3 linked regions of the Anolis sagrei genome follow. The protein of the gene in region 3 interacts with the protein of the main gene of each other region in a pairwise test. Links are inferred from orthologs where the notes say so. Each region holds a gene or a part of one and is shown on either strand. Other genes may lie near its edges.

Evidence for each region.
Region 1: the proteins of SMYD1 (region 3) and ZBTB44 interact in binary tests that used the Homo sapiens proteins (3 or more experiments, as listed by UniProt). The link is inferred for Anolis sagrei from reciprocal best matches to the Homo sapiens genes SMYD1 and ZBTB44.
Region 2: the proteins of SMYD1 (region 3) and FAM204A interact in binary tests that used the Homo sapiens proteins (3 or more experiments, as listed by UniProt). The link is inferred for Anolis sagrei from reciprocal best matches to the Homo sapiens genes SMYD1 and FAM204A.

Annotation. Positions count from the first base shown.
Region 1 is NC_090027.1:32,875,906-32,883,470, forward strand, and holds the start of ZBTB44 (zinc finger and BTB domain-containing protein 44), read left to right. Parts: upstream 1-4,523; 5' UTR 4,524-4,950; intron 4,951-7,565. UniProt on the Homo sapiens protein: May be involved in transcriptional regulation.
Region 2 is NC_090023.1:203,236,821-203,244,545, reverse strand, and holds the start of FAM204A (protein FAM204A), read right to left. Parts: upstream 3,043-7,725; 5' UTR 829-3,042; coding exon 693-828; intron 1-692.
Region 3 is NC_090026.1:54,919,434-54,926,468, reverse strand, and holds the start of SMYD1 (histone-lysine N-methyltransferase SMYD1), read left to right. Parts: upstream 1-3,945; 5' UTR 3,946-4,273; coding exon 4,274-4,395; intron 4,396-7,035. UniProt on the Homo sapiens protein: Methylates histone H3 at 'Lys-4' (H3K4me), seems able to perform both mono-, di-, and trimethylation. Acts as a transcriptional repressor. Essential for cardiomyocyte differentiation and cardiac morphogenesis.

The sequences.
Region 1 (7,565 bases), on a different chromosome or scaffold from region 3:
TCACCTACATCTAGAGAGCACTCTGGACTCAAACAATGATAGATCTGAACCAAACTTGGCACAAATACACAATATGCCCAAATGTGAACACTGACGGAGTTTGGGGAAAATAGACCTAGACTTTTGGGAGTTGTAGTTGCTGGGATTTAGTGTTCACCTACAATCAAAGAGCATTCCGAACCCAACAAATGGTAGAATTGGGTCAAACTTCTCACACAGAACCCCAATGCCCAACGGAAAATACTGTGTTTTCTGATGGTCTTTGGCGACCCCTCTGACAGGTTGAGAAACACTGGTCTAGATGACTCTTGAAAACCCAAAAGCCTGACATGAAGACAGTAGCTTTTTTCCTTGACTGCTGGTCAGCAAATTGGCAATCTAAGTTGTGCAGCCTCTGATTGGAAAACATTATGACTATTTTATTTGTTGTTGCGTTTCTTAAAGACATTTTGAACGTATGGCAACCCTAAAACGACCCAATTATGTGACTTTCCTGGACAGATTTGTTCACGAGGGATTTACCTTTGCCTTCCTCTGAGGTTGAGAGAATGCAAGTTGCCCAAGGCTGCTCAGTGGTTTTCTGTGGCCAAATGGGGATTCGAACCCTAGTCTCCCAGTTGCCCCAGTCCAACACTCAAACCACTTTACCATACTGATTCTCTACATAATATACAGTATTTTAACAAACTGAGATTTTGATATTGAGCATAGTTAGCAGTAACTGAATTCAATGGAAGTTACAATTTCCTTAGCATTGCCCTTCCACATTCATACTCCTAAACATGAGCGGAGATGGTTTCAGAAGTTGAGATTTTGTGGCACAAATCAGAGAAGGAAGAAGATTAAGACTAACTGGTTTGTATTTTAAGCATAGGCTTACATTGTTTTCAGAGGCGATCTCTTTAATAACTAACTAGAAAAAAGAGACTGAGGAGGAATAAATTCTACTCTTTGTTTGTAATACTTTAACCACAATAGTTTAAAAGACAAAAAATTTAGGCAAAGAGGAAAGGTTGACTTTAAAAACCCACATCAGCTGCAGAACTATGAACAGCCTTGTATGCTGTAATCAATGTTTGGAAAGTTGATTTGGATGATTGATATTTTTGTTAACTTTAATCAGCAATAACATTCACAAAGCACAGCAATTTGTAAGTCACTTATACAAGAGAGGTTCGCAAAACTCTTCACCTTGACAACAGCCTCCAGAACAGAATGGAGGCCCAATGGAAAATTCTGAGGCGGTTTTGTCATCATCAGGATCCATTATGATGCGATACTGAAAGGCATTGAGCAGTTCAAGGGTGATAGTTGACCAAGTAGTGTCCTTTCGAAAGGGAGAAACAAGGAAGGGCATCGTGGCACGTGACATTACGAGGGCTGAGCCTTTACAGGATGAGGAGACAAAACTCCATGTGAAGTCCGAGGGTCTTCTCAAAAGACCAAACTCAAAGAAGCTATAAAACTAGATGCTTGGTAAGCCTTTGGCTTAAATAGTTTAATCTTTTTGGAAACTTTCCTACAATAAGACTTCAGCTGGACTATTGTGAACTGCCTTGGGCCCCATACTGGCAGAAAGGCGGGCTGTAACTTATATATACATTTATACAGATGCTATTTTCCAAGTATTGGATGTACATCTAGAAATTTTATCCCCAAAATGGACCTCCCAAAACCCTGCATTTATGTGGTACTTTTCCGTAAAATACTTTACGATTCTTATCATATCTCTGTGTGTTTCTATGTAAAGATGAGTCATATATACATACAAACTCATATACATACATATACATAGATGGCATATGTGCTGTCGCATGCTGGGCCTGTGCATAAGACTGTAGACAGGACATAAATTCTGTGTGCCCAAAGGGGATGCCGGGGATGCCTCAGATTAAAGGCCCTTGGATTTCCTTAAAACAGAGTCTTTAGATTGCTTAAAGGTTCAACAAAGTTCTTTATTAATGAAAACAAACAGGTACTTTAAGGCAGTGGTTCTCAACCTGGGGGTCGGGACCCCTGGAGGAGTCGCGAGGGGGTGTCAGAGAGGTCGCCAAAGACCATCACAGACAATATTTTCTGTTGGTCATGGGAGTTCTGTGTGGGAAGTTTGGCCTAATTCTGGATGCTCTTTGGTTGTAGGTGAACTATAAATCCCAGCAACTACAACTCCCAAATGTAAAGGTTTATTTTCCTCGAACTTCAGTGTTCACGTTTGGGCATATTGAATATTTGTGCCAAGTTTGATCCAGATCCTTCATTGTTTGAATCCACAGTGCTCTCTGGGTGTAGGCAAACTACAACTCCCAAACTCAAGGTCAATGCCCACCAAACCCTTCCAGTATTTTCCGTTGGTCATGGGAGTTCTGTGTGCAAAGTTTGGTCCAGTTTCATTCTGAACTATACCAGTTTGGTATAGTTCAGAATGCTCTTTGAATGTAGGTGAACTATAAATCCCAGCAACTACAACTCCCAAATGACAAAATCAATCCTCCCATCCCAACCCCACCAGTATTCAAATCAGGGCATATTGGGTATTTGTGCCAAGTTTGGTCCAGTGAATAAGAATACATCCTGCATATCAGATATTTACATAACAATTTATAACAGTAGCAAAATTACAATTATGAAGTAGCAATGAAAATAATTTAATGGCTGGGGGTCACCACAACCTGAGGAACGGTATTAAGGGATCGCAGCATTAGGAACGTTGAGAACCACTGCTTTAAGGCTTTCTTAACAGTCTATTGGCTCTTTCAATCTTGTCCACAGGGAACAGGCACTATCTTCATGACTGGTATTTTAACTAATGGGGAAATCCTTAACTTCTAATCTGGGCAGTCTTTCTTTGCCTCTGTTGGCATGGAGCCCCTACACCCAGTAACAACTGCTTCTGGCTCTGCGAGAGACCCTTACCAAGCAGAGCTTTGTAGATCTCCAGGGGAAAAGGAGTTCAGGTTTCAGTGATGGTTGACTGAAGTCCCTCCGCAAAGGAGCTGTAAGACTGTATGATCCTCAGCTAAGCTGTAGGCTGTATATCTCCCCGGCCAAGCTGTAGAAGACGAAGCTTTCTACAGGAGCTCTTGGTATTATGTCCTGCATGGAAAGCTTTTCTGTGTGGACTGAACTCAAACTGGCTCCTATTCCCTCCAAAACCCAAATCCCAGCAACTACAACTCCCAAATGACAAAATCAATTTTTTTAGTGTTGGTCACTCCTTGGGTTGTTAGGTGTCTTGTGGCCAAATTTGGTGTCAATTCATCCAGTGGTTTTTGAGTTCTGTTAATCCCGCAAACGAACATAACCTTTTTATTTATTTATTTAGATAGATGGATGGATGGATGGATGGGTGGGTAGATGGGTGGGTTTGTGGGTGGATGGATGGGTAGGTGGGTGGGTTAGTGGATGGATGGATAGATAGATGGATGGGTGGATGGGTGGGTGGGTTTGTGGATGGATGGATGGATGGGTGGGTGGGTTAGTGGATGGATGGATGGATGGATGGATAGATGGATGGATGGGTGGGTTTGTGGATGGATGGATGGATGGGTGGGTGGATGGGTGGGTTTGTGGATGGATGGATGGGTGGGTGGATGGGTGGGTTTGTGGGTGGATGGATGGATGGATGGATGGGTGGGTGGGTGGGTTTGTGGATGGATGGATGGATGGGTGGGTGGATGGGTGGGTTTGTGGATGGATGGATGGGTGGATGGGTGGGTTTGTGGGTGGATGGATGGATGGATGGATGGGTGGGTGGGTTTGTGGATGGATGGATGGATGGGTGGGTGGATGGGTGGGTTTGTGGATGGATGGATGGGTGGGTTTGTGGATGGATGGATGGGTGGGTTTGTGGATGGATGGATAGATAGATGGGTGGATGGGTGGGTGGGTGGGTTTGTGGATGGGTGGGTTTGTGGATGGATGGATGGATGGATGGATGGGTGGGTGGGTGGATGGGTGGGTTTGTGGATGGATGGATGGGTGGGTTTGTGGATGGATGGATGGATGGATGGATGGATGGATGGGTGGGTTTGTGGATGGATGGATGGATGGATGGGTGGGTGGGTGGGTTTGTGGATGGATGGATGGATAGATAGATGGATGGATGGATGGATGGGTGGGTTTGTGGATGGGTGGGTTTGTGGATGGATGGATGGATGGATAGATAGACAGAGAAATAGATAGATGGATAGATAGATAGATAGATAGATAGATAGATAGATAAATGGATGGATAGATAGATAGATAGATAGATGTTAAATAAATAGATCTAGATAGATGGCTCTTCTCTCCTCCCTCCCTCCCTTGAGAAGCTCTTCCTCAGTAGGAATGGTCTCTCTCGCGCGCGCGCTCCCGCCCTCAAGCGCGTTCCCGCTCAGCCCGCCCGCCCTCCCTTCCGAGGCGCATGCGCGCACTCTTTCCCTTTTCCCTGATTTAACCCCGCCTACTATTTTTTTCCTCTCTCCCTCCCTCACTGCTTGCTTGCTTGCTTCCTCAGCAGACGCCGCGTTGCATTGTGGGACACAAACAAAGTGCCCGGCTCGGCGAAGGAAGAGGGGAGGGGCGGGGGGAGCAGACAGGGATTGAGAGAGAGAGAGAGAGCGCGTGAGTGGCCGCGCGCCGCCACCGTCCCTTCCCCCCTCAGTGCGCCTGCGCGGGGCCCTCTGCCTCCTCTCTTTCCCCCCCTCCCCTCCCCGTTTTCCCAACGCCCGCGGCGCGAGCGCAGGGGAAGCCCAACGGCTGTGGTGGGTGGGAGGGGGGGTGGCGGCGACGGTGGCCGCCATGGCCCAAAAGGGGCCTACGCGCGGGGCCAGCTAGGGGGAGGCGGCGGCGGAAGCCGAGGCGACGGGAAAAAAAAGGGAAAGGCCGGCTTCCCGCCCGCACACGCAGGTTAAAAATAAAGAGACGTCAATACCCCGGGCCCGGAGAAGGAGAGGGCCTCGCCAAACGCAGGTAATGAAGGGGCTGGGATGGGAGGAAGAGGAGCGCCTTTTCTGTGGGAAGTCCCTTAAGGGCCACCGTCGCCCCTGAGCTGGGAAATGTGCCTGTGTGCTTGCTTCGGGGTTGTTTTGCTTGTAAGGCTGGCGCGCACCTTGATGGCGCCATAGAAATAAACGATAACAATAATAATAGTGGTGGGAATGAGGCGGGGACAGGCAAGCCCCGCCCCCTCGGGATCCTGCCCCGCCCCTCCGCCTTTATTTACTCCTCCATTCAGAACCCCCCCCCCTTCCTCCTCATCTTTCCTTCTCTGAACATCGTAGTGTATTATATATATTGTGGCATAATAATAAAGTACAATATAATATATAATATACTAGCTGTCCCCTGCCAGGCGTTGCTGTGGCCCAGTCTGGTGTTCTGGAAAATAAAGTAATGAGAAAGTGTTGGTTTCTAATATATGCAATGTCTTGATGCTTGTGGATAAACAGTATTTCTTGTTGTTTCTTTGTCAGTGTTGATGTGGAGATTATCAGGTTTGCCTACTCTGGAACATGCAACATATTATTGTCCTTCTTTAGGGGTCCCTTTCAAATCTATGATACTGTATCTCTCTGTGTGTGTGAATCATATATCTATCTATCTATCTATATATATATATATGTAAATGCTCTGTGCATAATGAGTACCTTAAAAACAAAAGAACCAATGAACAAAATCACACCAAATTTGGCAACAAAATGTCTCACAACACAAGGAGTGACCATCACTCAAAAATTATGATTTTGTCATTTGGGAGTTATAGTTGCTGGGATTTATAGTTCACCTACACTCAAAGAGCATTCTGAACTCCACCAATGATGGAATTGAACCAAATATGGCACACACAACTCCCATGACCAACAGAAAATACTGTGTTTTCTTTTGGTCTTTGATGATCCTTCTGACACCCCCTCGCAACCTCCCCAGGGGTCCCAAACCCCAGGTTGAGAAAGGCAGCCTTAAGGCCATCCAGTCCAATCCCTTCACCAGAGCAAGAAAACATAATCAAAGCCCTCCTGACAAAGGGCTATCCAGCCATTCACACACACACATATATATGTATATGACAGATGCAGTATCATAGATTTGAAAGGAATCCCTACAGAAGGACAATGATATGTTGCATGTTCCAGAGTAGGCAAACCAGACAATCTCCACAACCCTGGCAAAGAAACAGCAAGAAATACTGTTTACTCACAAGCATAAAGACATTGCATATATTAGAAACCAACACTTTCTCATTACTTTATTTTCCAGATCACCAGACTGGGCCACAGCAACGCGTGGCAGGGGATCACTAGTATATCTATGGCAGGATGGCTCTTTGTCAGGAGACCTTTGATTATGTTTTCTTGCCCTAGTGAAGGGAGCTGGATTGGATGGCCTTAAGTATTTTCTTCGTCAGTGTTGATGTGGAGATAGTCTGGTTGGCCTACTCTGGAATATGCAACAGATAATTGTCCTTTAGGGGTCCCTTTCAAATCTGTACTACATCTGTCATGTACATATATGTGTGAGAGAGAATCATATATATCTATCTATATATATGGCTGGATGACTCTTTATCAGGAAGGCTTTGTTTTCTTGCCCTGGTGACGGACTGGATGGCCTTAAGGCAGCATGTCTGGGGAGGTCACAAGGTGGTGTCAAGAGGGGTCGCCAAAGGCCACCAGAAAATACAGTATTTTCTGTTGGTCATGGGGGTTCTGTGTGGGAAGTTTGCCCCTATTGTTTGTGGGGTTCAGAATGCTCTTTGATTGTAGGTGAACTATAAATCCCAGTGACTACAACTCACAAATGTCAAGGTATATTTCCCCCAAACTCCATCTGTGTTCATATTTGGGCATATGGAATATTCGCTCAAAGTTTGGTCCGGATCTGTCATTGTTTGAGTCCACAGTGCTCTCTGGATATAGGTGAACTACAACTCCAAAACTCAAGGTCAATGCCCACCAAACCCTTCCAGTATTTTCTGCTGGTGATGGGAGTTCTGTGTGCCAAGTTTGGTTCAATTCCACCGTTGGTGGAGTTCAGAATACTCTTGGATTGTAGATGAACTATAAATCCCACCAACTACAACTCCCAAATGACAAAATCCATTCAGACCCCCCCCCCCCTTTCCTCCTCTTCTAAACAACGTAATATACTGGTAGTATATATATATAGTATGGAATAATAATAAAGTACAGTATAATAATATATAATATACTGGCTATCCCCTGCCACACGTTGCTGTGGCCCAGTCTGGTGTTCTGGAAAATAAAGTAATGAGAAAGTGTTTGTTTCTAATATATGTAATGTCTTGTGGGTAAACATATAGAGATAGTCTGGTTTGTCTACTCTGGAACATGCAACTTATAATTGTCCTTCTTTAAGGGTCCTTTTCAAATCTATGATATTATATCTGTCACATACATATATGTGTGTGTGTGTGTTAATAATAATCATCATCATCATCAGCAGCATTATTATCTTTATTTATACCCCGCCACCATCTCCCCAAAGGGGAGGCCAAGCCCAGAAATACAATACAATAAAATAAATTAAAAACAATAAAATAAAACCAAACAGCAAAACTAATGTCA
Region 2 (7,725 bases), on a different chromosome or scaffold from region 3:
GCGAAAGGGCGGGATACAAATAAAGTTGTTTATTGTTATTATGTTGGAAAAAGAAAAAAGAAGATGATAGTGATGTTGCATCATTATAATTTCCACATCTCTCTCAGACTTAGGCTTAGACTGCATCACTTCCTTCATCGGCTTGCCTGTCTTTAAGTCATTCCCAACTTATTTCAAGCCTATAAAAGTTTTTTCTCCTTCAGTAGGACTTGCTTTCCTCTGAGGCTGAGACAGTGTGGCTTGCCCAAGATCACCCAATGGGTTTCCACAGCCACAAAGGAATTCAACCCTGGTTTAAAAGACCTGGGTTCGAATCCCTGCTCTGCCATGGAAAACCATTAAGTGACCTTGGGCAAGTCACACTCTCTCAGCCTCAAAGGATGGGACTGGCAAACCTCCAAGTAAAGCCTGTGATAAACGCGCCTTAGAATCGCTACTTGAAGGCACAAAAGAACGATAAAAAGTCATGGGATTTCTTTCCATATAAAGACTCTGTAGTAAGCCTGGGCAAACTTTGGCCTTCCAAGTATTTTGGATTCCAACTCCCACAATTCCTAACAGCCTCAAGCCCTTTCCTATCCCCATCAGCGGTTTAATGTCTATAAACCGAGATCTTCACCTCCTCCTTGAATAGTGCTTCCCATGCTTTAGGCCTCGAGAGTTTTTGGACCTCGTTTCCCAGAATTCCTTACCGTTGACCAAGCTGCTAGGGCTTCTGGGAGTTGAAGTCCCAACACGTTGAGGACCAAAGGTTGGGAAGGAAACGAGGAAAGCCTTTTTCTTTAAAGGAACTATCAAAACTCGGAGAAAAAGAAAGGCAGCGTCCATTTGGTCCCATTTGGTTTCACCCAAGCGCGGCCCAGGGCGATATGGCGGGATACGAATAAAGTTGTTTATTGTTATTATGTTGGGAAAAGATAAAGAAGATGATAGTGATGTTGCATCATTATAATTTCCACATCTCTCTCAGACTTAGGCTTCGACTGCATCACTTCCTTCATCGGCTTGCCTGTCTTTAAGTCATTCCCAACTTATTTCAAGCCTATAAAAGTTTTTTCTCCTTCAGTAGGACTTGCTTTCCTCTGAGGCTGAGACAGTGTGGCTTGCCCAAGATCACCCGATCGGTTTCCACAGCCACAAAGGAATTCAACCCTGGTTTAAAAGACCTGGGTTCGAATCCCTGCTCTGCCATGGAAAACCATTAAGTGACCTTGGGCAAGTCACACTCTCTCAGCCTCAAAGGATGGGACTGGCAAACCTCCAAGTAAAGCCTGTGATAAACGCGCCTTAGAATCGCTACTTGAAGGCACAAAAGAACGATTAAAAGTCATGGGATTTCTTTCCATATAAAGACTCTGTAGTAAGCCTGGGCAAACTTTGGCCTTCCAAGTATTTTGGATTCCAACTCCCACAATTCCTAACAGCCTCAAGCCCTTTCCTATCCCCATCAGCGGTTTAATGTCTATAAACCGAGATCTTCACCTCCTCCTTGAATAGTGCTTCCCATGCTTTAGGCCTCGAGAGTTTTTGGACCTCGTTTCCCAGAATTCCTTACCGTTGACCAAGCTGCTAGGGCTTCTGGGAGTTGAAGTCCCAACACGTCGAGGACCAAAGGTTGGGAAGGAAACGAGGAAAGCCTTTTTCTTTAAAGGAACTATCAAAACTCGGAGAAAAAGAAAGGCAGCGTCCATTTGGTCCCATTTGGTTTCACCCAAGCGCGGCCCAGGGCGATATGGCGGGATACGAATAAAGTTGTTTATTGTTATTATGTTGGGAAAAGATAAAGAAGATGATAGTGATGTTGCATCATTATAATTTCCACATCTCTCTCAGACTTAGGCTTCGACTGCATCACTTCCTTCATCGGCTTGCCTGTCTTTAAGTCATTCCCAACTTATTTCAAGCCTATAAAAGTTTTTTCTCCTTCAGTAGGACTTGCTTTCCTCTGAGGCTGAGACAGTGTGGCTTGCCCAAGATCACCCGATCGGTTTCCACAGCCACAAAGGAATTCAACCCTGGTTTAAAAGACCTGGGTTCGAATCCCTGCTCTGCCATGGAAAACCATTAAGTGACCTTGGGCAAGTCACACTCTCTCAGCCTCAAAGGATGGGACTGGCAAACCTCCAAGTAAAGCCTGTGATAAACGCGCCTTAGAATCGCTACTTGAAGGCACAAAAGAACGATTAAAAGTCATGGGATTTCTTTCCATATAAAGACTCTGTAGTAAGCCTGGGCAAACTTTGGCCTTCCAAGTATTTTGGATTCCAACTCCCACAATTCCTAACAGCCTCAAGCCCTTTCCTATCCCCATCAGCGGTTTAATGTCTATAAACCGAGATCTTCACCTCCTCCTTGAATAGTGCTTCCCATGCTTTAGGCCTCGAGAGTTTTTGGACCTCGTTTCCCAGAATTCCTTACCGTTGACCAAGCTGCTAGGGCTTCTGGGAGTTGAAGTCCCAACACGTCGAGGACCAAAGGTTGGGAAGGAAACGAGGAAAGCCTTTTTCTTTAAAGGAACTATCAAAACTCGGAGAAAAAGAAAGGCAGCGTCCATTTGGTCCCATTTGGTTTCACCCAAGCGCGGCCCAGGGCGATATGGCGGGATACGAATAAAGTTGTTTATTGTTATTATGTTGGGAAAAGATAAAGAAGATGATAGTGATGTTGCATCATTATAATTTCCACATCTCTCTCAGACTTAGGCTTCGACTGCATCACTTCCTTCATCGGCTTGCCTGTCTTTAAGTCATTCCCAACTTATTTCAAGCCTATAAAAGTTTTTTCTCCTTCAGTAGGACTTGCTTTCCTCTGAGGCTGAGACAGTGTGGCTTGCCCAAGATCACCCGATCGGTTTCCACAGCCACAAAGGAATTCAACCCTGGTTTAAAAGACCTGGGTTCGAATCCCTGCTCTGCCATGGAAAACCATTAAGTGACCTTGGGCAAGTCACACTCTCTCAGCCTCAAAGGATGGGACTGGCAAACCTCCAAGTAAAGCCTGTGATAAACGCGCCTTAGAATCGCTACTTGAAGGCACAAAAGAACGAAAAAAGTCATGGGATTTCTTTCCATATAAAGACTCTGTAGTAAGCCTGGGCAAACTTTGGCCTTCCAAGTATTTTGGATTCCAACTCCCACAATTCCTAACAGCCTCAAGCCCTTTCCTATCCCCATCAGCGGTTTAATGTCTATAAACCGAGATCTTCACCTCCTCCTTGAATAGTGCTTCCCATGCTTTAGGCCTCGAGAGTTTTTGGACCTCGTTTCCCAGAATTCCTTACCGTTGACCAAGCTGCTAGGGCTTCTGGGAGTTGAAGTCCCAACACGTCGAGGACCAAAGGTTGGGAAGGAAACGAGGAAAGCCTTTTTCTTTAAAGGAACTATCAAAACTCGGAGAAAAAGAAAGGCAGCGTCCATTTGGTCCCATTTGGTTTCACCCAAGCGCGGCCCAGGGCGATATGGCGGGATACGAATAAAGTTGTTTATTGTTATTATGTTGGGAAAAGATAAAGAAGATGATAGTGATGTTGCATCATTATAATTTCCACATCTCTCTCAGACTTAGGCTTCGACTGCATCACTTCCTTCATCGGCTTGCCTGTCTTTAAGTCATTCCCAACTTATTTCAAGCCTATAAAAGTTTTTTCTCCTTCAGTAGGACTTGCTTTCCTCTGAGGCTGAGACAGTGTGGCTTGCCCAAGATCACCCGATCGGTTTCCACAGCCACAAAGGAATTCAACCCTGGTTTAAAAGACCTGGGTTCGAATCCCTGCTCTGCCATGGAAAACCATTAAGTGACCTTGGGCAAGTCACACTCTCTCAGCCTCAAAGGATGGGACTGGCAAACCTCCAAGTAAAGCCTGTGATAAACGCGCCTTAGAATCGCTACTTGAAGGCACAAAAGAACGATAAAAAGTCATGGGATTTCTTTCCATATAAAGACTCTGTAGTAAGCCTGGGCAAACTTTGGCCTTCCAAGTATTTTGGATTCCAACTCCCACAATTCCTAACAGCCTCAAGCCCTTTCCTATCCCCATCAGCGGTTTAATGTCTATAAACCGAGATCTTCACCTCCTCCTTGAATAGTGCTTCCCATGCTTTAGGCCTCGAGAGTTTTTGGACCTCGTTTCCCAGAATTCCTTACCGTTGACCAAGCTGCTAGGGCTTCTGGGAGTTGAAGTCCCAACACGTCGAGGACCAAAGGTTGGGAAGGAAACGAGGAAAGCCTTTTTCTTTAAAGGAACTATCAAAACTCGGAGAAAAAGAAAGGCAGCGTCCATTTGGTCCCATTTGGTTTCACCCAAGCGCGGCCCAGGGCGATATGGCGGGATACGAATAAAGTTGTTTATTGTTATTATGTTGGGAAAAGATAAAGAAGATGATAGTGATGTTGCATCATTATAATTTCCACATCTCTCTCAGACTTAGGCTTCGACTGCATCACTTCCTTCATCGGCTTGCCTGTCTTTAAGTCATTCCCAACTTATTTCAAGCCTATAAAAGTTTTTTCTCCTTCAGTAGGACTTGCTTTCCTCTGAGGCTGAGACAGTGTGGCTTGCCCAAGATCACCCGATCGGTTTCCACAGCCACAAAGGAATTCAACCCTGGTTTAAAAGACCTGGGTTCGAATCCCTGCTCTGCCATGGAAAACCATTAAGTGACCTTGGGCAAGTCACACTCTCTCAGCCTCAAAGGATGGGACTGGCAAACCTCCAAGTAAAGCCTGTGATAAACGCGCCTTAGAATCGCTACTTGAAGGCACAAAAGAACGATAAAAAGTCATGGGATTTCTTTCCATATAAAGACTCTGTAGTAAGCCTGGGCAAACTTTGGCCTTCCAAGTATTTTGGATTCCAACTCCCACAATTCCTAACAGCCTCAAGCCCTTTCCTATCCCCATCAGCGGTTTAATGTCTATAAACCGAGATCTTCACCTCCTCCTTGAATAGTGCTTCCCATGCTTTAGGCCTCGAGAGTTTTTGGACCTCGTTTCCCAGAATTCCTTACCGTTGACCAAGCTGCTAGGGCTTCTGGGAGTTGAAGTCCCAACACGTCGAGGACCAAAGGTTGGGAAGGAAACGAGGAAAGCCTTTTTCTTTAAAGGAACTATCAAAACTCGGAGAAAAAGAAAGGCAGCGTCCATTTGGTCCCATTTGGTTTCACCCAAGCGCGGCCCAGGGCGATATGGCGGGATACGAATAAAGTTGTTTATTGTTATTATGTTGGGAAAAGATAAAGAAGATGATAGTGATGTTGCATCATTATAATTTCCACATCTCTCTCAGACTTAGGCTTCGACTGCATCACTTCCTTCATCGGCTTGCCTGTCTTTAAGTCATTCCCAACTTATTTCAAGCCTATAAAAGTTTTTTCTCCTTCAGTAGGACTTGCTTTCCTCTGAGGCTGAGACAGTGTGGCTTGCCCAAGATCACCCGATCGGTTTCCACAGCCACAAAGGAATTCAACCCTGGTTTAAAAGACCTGGGTTCGAATCCCTGCTCTGCCATGGAAAACCATTAAGTGACCTTGGGCAAGTCACACTCTCTCAGCCTCAAAGGATGGGACTGGCAAACCTCCAAGTAAAGCCTGTGATAAACGCGCCTTAGAATCGCTACTTGAAGGCACAAAAGAACGATTAAAAGTCATGGGATTTCTTTCCATATAAAGACTCTGTAGTAAGCCTGGGCAAACTTTGGCCTTCCAAGTATTTTGGATTCCAACTCCCACAATTCCTAACAGCCTCAAGCCCTTTCCTATCCCCATCAGCGGTTTAATGTCTATAAACCGAGATCTTCACCTCCTCCTTGAATAGTGCTTCCCATGCTTTAGGCCTCGAGAGTTTTTGGACCTCGTTTCCCAGAATTCCTTACCGTTGACCAAGCTGCTAGGGCTTCTGGGAGTTGAAGTCCCAACACGTCGAGGACCAAAGGTTGGGAAGGAAACGAGGAAAGCCTTTTTCTTTAAAGGAACTATCAAAACTCGGAGAAAAAGAAAGGCAGCGTCCATTTGGTCCCATTTGGTTTCACCCAAGCGCGGCCCAGGGCGATATGGCGGGATACGAATAAAGTTGTTTATTGTTATTATGTTGGGAAAAGATAAAGAAGATGATAGTGATGTTGCATCATTATAATTTCCACATCTCTCTCAGACTTAGGCTTCGACTGCATCACTTCCTTCATCGGCTTGCCTGTCTTTAAGTCATTCCCAACTTATTTCAAGCCTATAAAAGTTTTTTCTCCTTCAGTAGGACTTGCTTTCCTCTGAGGCTGAGACAGTGTGGCTTGCCCAAGATCACCCGATCGGTTTCCACAGCCACAAAGGAATTCAACCCTGGTTTAAAAGACCTGGGTTCGAATCCCTGCTCTGCCATGGAAAACCATTAAGTGACCTTGGGCAAGTCACACTCTCTCAGCCTCAAAGGATGGGACTGGCAAACCTCCAAGTAAAGCCTGTGATAAACGCGCCTTAGAATCGCTACTTGAAGGCACAAAAGAACGATAAAAAGTCATGGGATTTCTTTCCATATAAAGACTCTGTAGTAAGCCTGGGCAAACTTTGGCCTTCCAAGTATTTTGGATTCCAACTCCCACAATTCCTAACAGCCTCAAGCCCTTTCCTATCCCCATCAGCGGTTTAATGTCTATAAACCGAGATCTTCACCTCCTCCTTGAATAGTGCTTCCCATGCTTTAGGCCTCGAGAGTTTTTGGACCTCGTTTCCCAGAATTCCTTACCGTTGACCAAGCTGCTAGGGCTTCTGGGAGTTGAAGTCCCAACACGTCGAGGACCAAAGGTTGGGAAGGAAACGAGGAAAGCCTTTTTCTTTAAAGGAACTATCAAAACTCGGAGAAAAAGAAAGGCAGCGTCCATTTGGTCCCATTTGGTTTCACCCAAGCGCGGCCCAGGGCGATATGGCGGGATACGAATAAAGTTGTTTATTGTTATTATGTTGGGAAAAGATAAAGAAGATGATAGTGATGTTGCATCATTATAATTTCCACATCTCTCTCAGACTTAGGCTTCGACTGCATCACTTCCTTCATCGGCTTGCCTGTCTTTAAGTCATTCCCAACTTATTTCAAGCCTATAAAAGTTTTTTCTCCTTCAGTAGGACTTGCTTTCCTCTGAGGCTGAGACAGTGTGGCTTGCCCAAGATCACCCGATCGGTTTCCACAGCCACAAAGGAATTCAACCCTGGTTTAAAAGACCTGGGTTCGAATCCCTGCTCTGCCATGGAAAACCATTAAGTGACCTTGGGCAAGTCACACTCTCTCAGCCTCAAAGGATGGGACTGGCAAACCTCCAAGTAAAGCCTGTGATAAACGCGCCTTAGAATCGCTACTTGAAGGCACAAAAGAACGATTAAAAGTCATGGGATTTCTTTCCATATAAAGACTCTGTAGTAAGCCTGGGCAAACTTTGGCCTTCCAAGTATTTTGGATTCCAACTCCCACAATTCCTAACAGCCTCAAGCCCTTTCCTATCCCCATCAGCGGTTTAATGTCTATAAACCGAGATCTTCACCTCCTCCTTGAATAGTGCTTCCCATGCTTTAGGCCTCGAGAGTTTTTGGACTTCGTTTCCCAGAATTCCTTACCGTTGACCAAGCTGCTAGGGCTTCTGGGAGTTGAAGTCCCAACACGTTGAGGACCAAAGGTTGGGAAGCCCAGAGGAAACGAGGAAAGCCTTTTTATTTAAAGGAACTATCAAAACTCGGAGAAAAAGAA
Region 3 (7,035 bases):
ATATTTTTGTTATCCATTCTTCTTTTGATGGCACTTTATTCGATTTCCAGTATCTCGCAAAAACTATTCTCGCCGCAGTTGTTAGATAGGTTAGTAGAATATCCTTGTTCGTGTCCAGTTCCCATTCTTCTTCAAAGATACCTAGCAGGTAACTTTCTGCTTTGGTGTATAACTTCATCTCCAGTATTTCTTCGCAGGAGTCATTTATCTTCTTCCAATATGTTTGGGCTATAGGGCAAGTCCACCACTGATGGAAGAAAGTTCCGACTTGCTTTTCACACTTCCAACAGTTGTTCTTGATGTTTTTGTACATGAGTCCCAATTTCTGGGGCGTCATATACCATCTGTGGAAGAGCTTATACCAATTTTCTCTTAAATCTGTGGAGTAGGTGTACTTTATCTTCTTGCTCCAGATTTTTTCCCATTCTTCTAGTTTGATGGGTCTGCCGATGTTCCTTGCCCATTTTATCATACACTCCTTGACTGTTTCTGTCTCCGTCTTCCAGCCAAGTAGCATATTATAAATACATGTGATGTATTCACTAAGAACTTCAGAATCTGTCATGTCTTTTCTCTCCTTCTTTATAAAAGACATGAACTTCAGAATCTGTCATGTCTTTTATAAAGAAAGAGAGAAAAGACATGACAGATTCTGAAGTTCTTAGTGATTTTTAGGACAGTGGCTGACTCATTCTTCACCACATGATGGAGCTATTTTACTGAGTTCTCTCTGACCCGAGATAAGAATGAAATTAATGTCTTAAATTAGTGGAATGTGTTTCTACCGAGTGGTATACTAGACAAATTCAGTAATAAAGCTCACCTCTTCTCCAACAGGTCAAGTACAGGCTTTGTCTTGTAGCTGTGATTTGTGTTGAAGCCAGAACCCTGGCTGGCATTTAATAACCTTCTGCTTTTCAGTTATTTTCAGCAAGACAGTTATTCCAAAGCAGAGAGCTTTGAGATAGTAGAACTGAAGCTCTCCGAAGCTCTAGGTGCCCTTACCGCCTACTACAGGGAAAACCAGCTGATCCCTGATCCATCTGAAACACAGACATGTGCCTTTCACCTTAAGAACAGACAAGCATCCCGAGCTCTGAGGATTACCTGGGAAGGAATCCCACTGGAGCATTGCAGAACACCCAAATACCTGAGAGTCACCCTGGACCATGCTCTGACCTACAAGAAGCACTGCCTGAATATCAAGCAAAAAGTGGGTGCTAGAAACAATATCATACGAAAGCTTATTGGCACAACCTGGGGATCACAACCAGACACAGTGAAGACATCTGCCTTTGTGCTATGCTACTCTGCTGCTGAGTATGCATGCCCAGTGTGGAACACATCTCACCACTCTAAAACAGTGGATGTGGCTCTTAATGGGACATGCCGCATTATATCAGCAAACTGATATAATTAGTTCACTCCGTTATTAGGAAGAAACTTAAAAATATTGCTGCCAAAACCACTGTTAAATATTGTCCTTCCTCCAGTATTTTAAATACAACCAACAGGTGCAAGAGTAGCATCAGGGTTTTCACAAGGAGTGGGCAACTTGTGGCCTTCCAAATGCTTCTTGGATTGCAAGTCCTATTGTCCTGAGCTTTATTAATTTAGGGAGATGAAGCTGTGGTCCAGTAACCTCTAGAAGCCGTGTAACCAGGCATGTAGCCGGGGGGGGGGGGGGGGGGGGCTTGAGGGGTTTCAGCCCCCCCCCCCCCAAATTCTCAGGGTGATCCACGAGAAGGCCTATACACACTTTCTTTCAGACTATAGCTCCCAGCATCTAAGCTGCAAGCTTTCTTCTCCTTCAGGCATGTAGCCGGGGGGGGGGGGGGCAGGGCTTGAGGGGCTTCAGCCCCCCCCCCCCGAAATTCTCAGGGTGGTCCGTGAGAAGGCTTTACTGGTACATTATTTAAACTGTTATGTTTATTCATATCATGATCTGATCATGATACTCAATATATCCCATATGCATGGGGGTATTGGGATAATGATACAAAAGGTTTACTAGGGTAGATCCTCACCCCCCCCCCCCAAATCAAACTGACCCTACCCCCTCGAATCCTGACTACGGGCCTGCATGTAACCCATTGCCCACCCTTACTATGAATCAGAAACATTGAAAATATTATAGAATAGTGGAACTTGCAATATAAATGCGTTGTTAACAGCTTTTCACTTACTCATTTTAGTGAGTTTTTTAACTAAATTCTTTTAATAATTGTAACATTTAACTCTATTTATATTTATATTTTGTAGGTTTTTCCATTATAAAATTTTAAAGTTGTGAGCCACTTTGGATCACAGTTCTAAGAGAAAACAGGAAAATAACAACAACAACAACAACATTAACCAATCAAATTTGTTTAATTTTCACAACTAGGTTGTGGAATCTACCCATTGCAGAACACAGAATTTGACTTAATGTGATGCAAAAACTTCTTTTTCATTTTTATTTTAGCACTCAAGACCTACCTACACTCTTGGTCGGGTTCCTATTGGCTTGAGAATAACCTAGCATTTACCCACGAGACGAGCAAAGATGTCACGTCTGGGTTGTTGTAGGTTTTTCGAGCTGTATGGCTACGTTCTAGAAGCATTTTCTCCTGACGTTGTCACATCTGCTTCAGAAGGTGGTGCCAGACTTCTCTGAAACCTTCGAACTCCTTCCACCAGCTTCTACCATCGTATTGTCGAAGGCTTTCATGGCCGGATTCACTGGGTTGTTGTAGGTTTTTCGGGCTATATGGCCATGTTCTAGAGGCATTTCTCCTGACATTTCGTCTGCATCTATGGCAAGCATCTATGGCACTACCTCTGAGTATGCTTGCCATAGATGCAGGTGAAACGTCAGGAGAAAAGCCTCTAGAACAGTGGTTCTCAACCTTCCTAATGGTGTGACCCCTTAATACAGTCCCCCATGTTGTGGTGACCCCCAACCATAATATTGTTTTCATTGCTACTTCATAACAGTCATTTTCCTACTGTTATAAATCATAATGTAAATATCTGATATTCAGGATTCATTTTCATTCACTGGACCAAACTGGGCACAAATACCCAATACACCCAAATGTGAATGCTAGTGGGGTTGGGCGAGGATTGATTTTGTAATTTGGGAGTTGTAGTTACTAGGATTTATAGTTCACTTATAATCAAAGAGCATTCTGAACTCCACCAGCGATGGATTTGAACCAAACTTGGCTCCCATGACCAATGGAAAACATTGGAAGGGTTTGATGGACATTGACCTTGAGTTTGGGAGTTGTAGTTCACCTATATCCAGAGAGCACTGTGGACTCATGCAATGGTAGATCTGGACCAAACTTGGCATGAATACTCAATATGCCCAAATGTGAACACTGGTGGAGTCCGGGGAAAATAGACCTTGACATTTGGGAGTTGTCGTTGCTGGGATTCATAGTTCATTACAATCAAAGAACATTCTGAACTCCACCAACAATAGAATTGGCTCAAACTTCCCACATGGAATCCCCATGACCATCAGAAAATACTATGTTTTCTTATGGTCTTTGGCGACCACTCTGACACACCCTCGCGACCCCCTCAGGGGTCCCCAGGTTGAGAAACACTGCTCTAGAACATGGCCATATAGCCCGAAAAAACCCTACAACAACCCAGCTTCTACCATCGTTTCAGTTGGTGTCCTGTGAGCAACTTCTGTGCTGCAAAGAGTATATTTTCAGTCTGTGATCTTCCAAAATACAGCCACACAGAGAAGTCTTTTGTGTCAACTAAACGTAGCATTGTTTCAGTTCGTTTTTTAAAAAAGCAGATAGCATAGACTCTTCCTGCGTGTTGCATACCAGCCATGCTACTTAGCACTTTCTCAGCTGTTGGCCCCTGACAGGCAGAAGCATGTGGTTTCTAAAAATACTTCCCAAGAACACGCATTATCTTCCCAATAGGAGAGTGTAAACTAAATGTTGTGTTGGAAGCACAAGAATGTTGGATTTTGGAAAGAAGGTTGTTTCTTCATTTTCCTAATGAAGCAAACACTTACCATAGATAGATGTAGCTCACCTTTTTCTTCTCTAACCCCCATCCCCTACAAAGCCACTTTGGCAACCTGAATAATGCCCCCCTTTTCCCTATGGAAATGCAGTACTAGATGGGAGGTGCACAGAGACAGCCCATTGAGAGGAGTGGTCCTTTGAAAGCTTTAAAGAGCAGAAGTGATAAGAGATTTGAGTCACTTGGAATTGTCCCGTGTTACAAGCTTGGATAGCCTGAGGAAACAAAAGGAGGCATGGAAACAGTGGAGGTGTTTGACACGGATGGCAAAGGCAGGGGGCTGAAGACAAGCAAGGAATTTTGGGCTGGAGATGTAATTTTTGCAGAACGAGCCTATGCTGCAGTAGTATTTGACAGGTAAGAAAGAAAAATGACAATGGTGTTGCAGTGAAGCAAGGAGAGACTACATGAAAGAGCTGGTGAATTGACCGTATGGAATTTGTTGCATGACTTGGGATGTTATTTATTAATAAGATGATGAGCATTTCAGGATGTGAGAAATACTTCTCAGGAACTTGGGCTAGTCTGCAGTTGGGCTTCTTAAACGTTTTCCACTCATGACCCTTTCCCACCTGAGAGATGTTCATGTGACCCCAGATATATATAGGTATATAAAAGAGGAATAAAAAACAATAGATAAATATCTATATAAATAAAAATTTAATGTTCGTTTGTGGAATTAACAGAACTCAAAAACCACTGGACGAATTGCTGCCAAATTTGGCCACAAGACACCTATTAAACCAAGGAGTGACCACTCAAAAAATTGATTTTGTCATTCGGGAGTTGTAGTCGCTGGGAGTTATAGTTTACTTACAATCAAAGAGCATTCTGAACTCCACCAATGATGGAATTGAACCAAACGTGGCATACAGGACTCCCATGAACAATAGAAAACACTAGAAGGGTTTGGTGGGCATTGACCTTGAGTTTGGGAGTTGTAGTTCACCTACATCCAGAGAGCACTGTGGATTCTAACAATGATGGATCTGGACCAAACTTGGCACAAATATTCCATATGCCCAAATATGAACACAGATGGAATTTGAGGAAAATAGATCTTGACATTTGGGAGTTGTTGTTGCTGGGATTTATAGTTCACCTACAATCAAAGAGCATTCTGAACTCCACCAATGATAGAATTGGGCCAAACTTCCCATACAGAACCCCCATGACCAACAGAAAATATTGTTTTCTGATGGTTTTGGTGACCCCTGTGACACCCCTTTATGACCTCTGCAGGGGTCCCGATCCTCAGGTTGAGAAATACTGCCTTAAGCCCATCCAGTCCAACTCCCTTCACCAGGGCAAGAAAACATAACCAGAGCCCTCCTGACAAAGAGCCATCCTAAAAAGCAAAAAAACAAACAAAAAACAACAACAACAAAACCCAAAAAAACCTCACCACATTACAACGCATGTGCAAAACCACACACACACACATGCACACACACATATACACAAATATATACACATATATACATACAAAGCACATATACACAGACTGGGCCACAGCAATGCGTGGCAGGGGATGGCTAGTAGGTACAAAGATTTATTGATAATAACTCAGCATTTGCAAGGCTTACTAAATAGGCTGATTTTCCTTTTTGCAGAATACAGCTGAAGCATTTTCTGCAGAATCCATTGTAAATATTGCAGATTGTTGCCAACAGATTCGTGTGAGCGGCATTCAAAAAACCTCCCAAAATTTTTGTGATGCCAATAAAATAGAATAACTTTATTGTCATTGTACAATGAAATCCAATGCTTTCCCCAGCACACACCACAAAACAACACGCTCATCCCTCCACACTCCCACCACCACCACATAGCTTCCAATGCCACATCAAAGCGAAGCCATGGAGTTCAATATAGTTACAGCTCTAGGATAAAAATTGTCTCTCAGTTTGTTTGTCACTCTGTACCATTTGCCAAATGGTAATAATTTAAGAAACAAATATGTCAGCTGAGATGGATCCCCAAGAATGCACTGAACTTTCTTAAGGCTGCAGGACCTACAAAGTTCTTCCAAAGAGGGTCATTTTCATTAGGCGATCCCTTGTTGTCCGAGTAGGATAGTCTTCCAAGATCAGTGTACTGGTGGTGACCGTAGGTGACTGTGGAGCCCAATTCTTGATTTGCATCTTCTCCCGCAATGAGGGCATTGGTTTCCAGGTGGAAGGCAATCCCGGTCGGGGTTGGCTTGATGCGCCTTTCTCTTGGCACGTTTCTCTCTTTCACCCTCCAGTTGTGCCTCTTCAAATTCTACAGCACTGCTGGTCACAGCTGACCTCCAGCTGGAGCGCTCAAGGGCCAGGGCTTCCCAGTTCTCAGTGTCTATGCCAGAGTTTTTGAGGTTGGCTTTGAGCCCATTTTTAAATCTCTTTTCCTGTCCACCAACATTTCGTTTTCCGTTCTTGAGTTCGGAATAGAGCAACTGCTTTGGGGGACGGTGGTCGGGCAGCTAGACAATGTGGCCGGTCCAGCAGAGCTGATGGTGGAAGACCATCGCTTCAGTGCTGGTGGTCTTTGTTTCTTCCAGCACGCTGACATTTGTCCGCTTGTCTTCCCAAGAGATCTGCAGGATTTTTCAAAGAGGGTAGAATGCAACCAATGATACTCTGTGCAGAAGTGGTGATCCTTTGGAGCGCCTTCCTATCTGCCACTGTGCAGTTACCAAACCATGCACAGATGCAGTAGGTTAGGACCCTCTCTATAGCACAGTGACAATTTTTGTTCAGTTGTTGGTTTCTTAAAGGTTTCAATATTGAACTAAGGGGATGCAGTGGTCTAGAGTGACCCAGCAGAGTGACTAATCCACTTTAGAGTATCTGTTGTGAATTTGCTAAATTATCTTAGGCAATTTCCTAACCCTTAATCTCATCCTCCTAACGTGAAATCTAGGGTTCTTGTGCATTGTGCATAGAAAGAAGCACAACGTTGCACAGTATTGAATATTGTATCTATATGAGCAGTTGAGACTGTAGAAGCAACTAG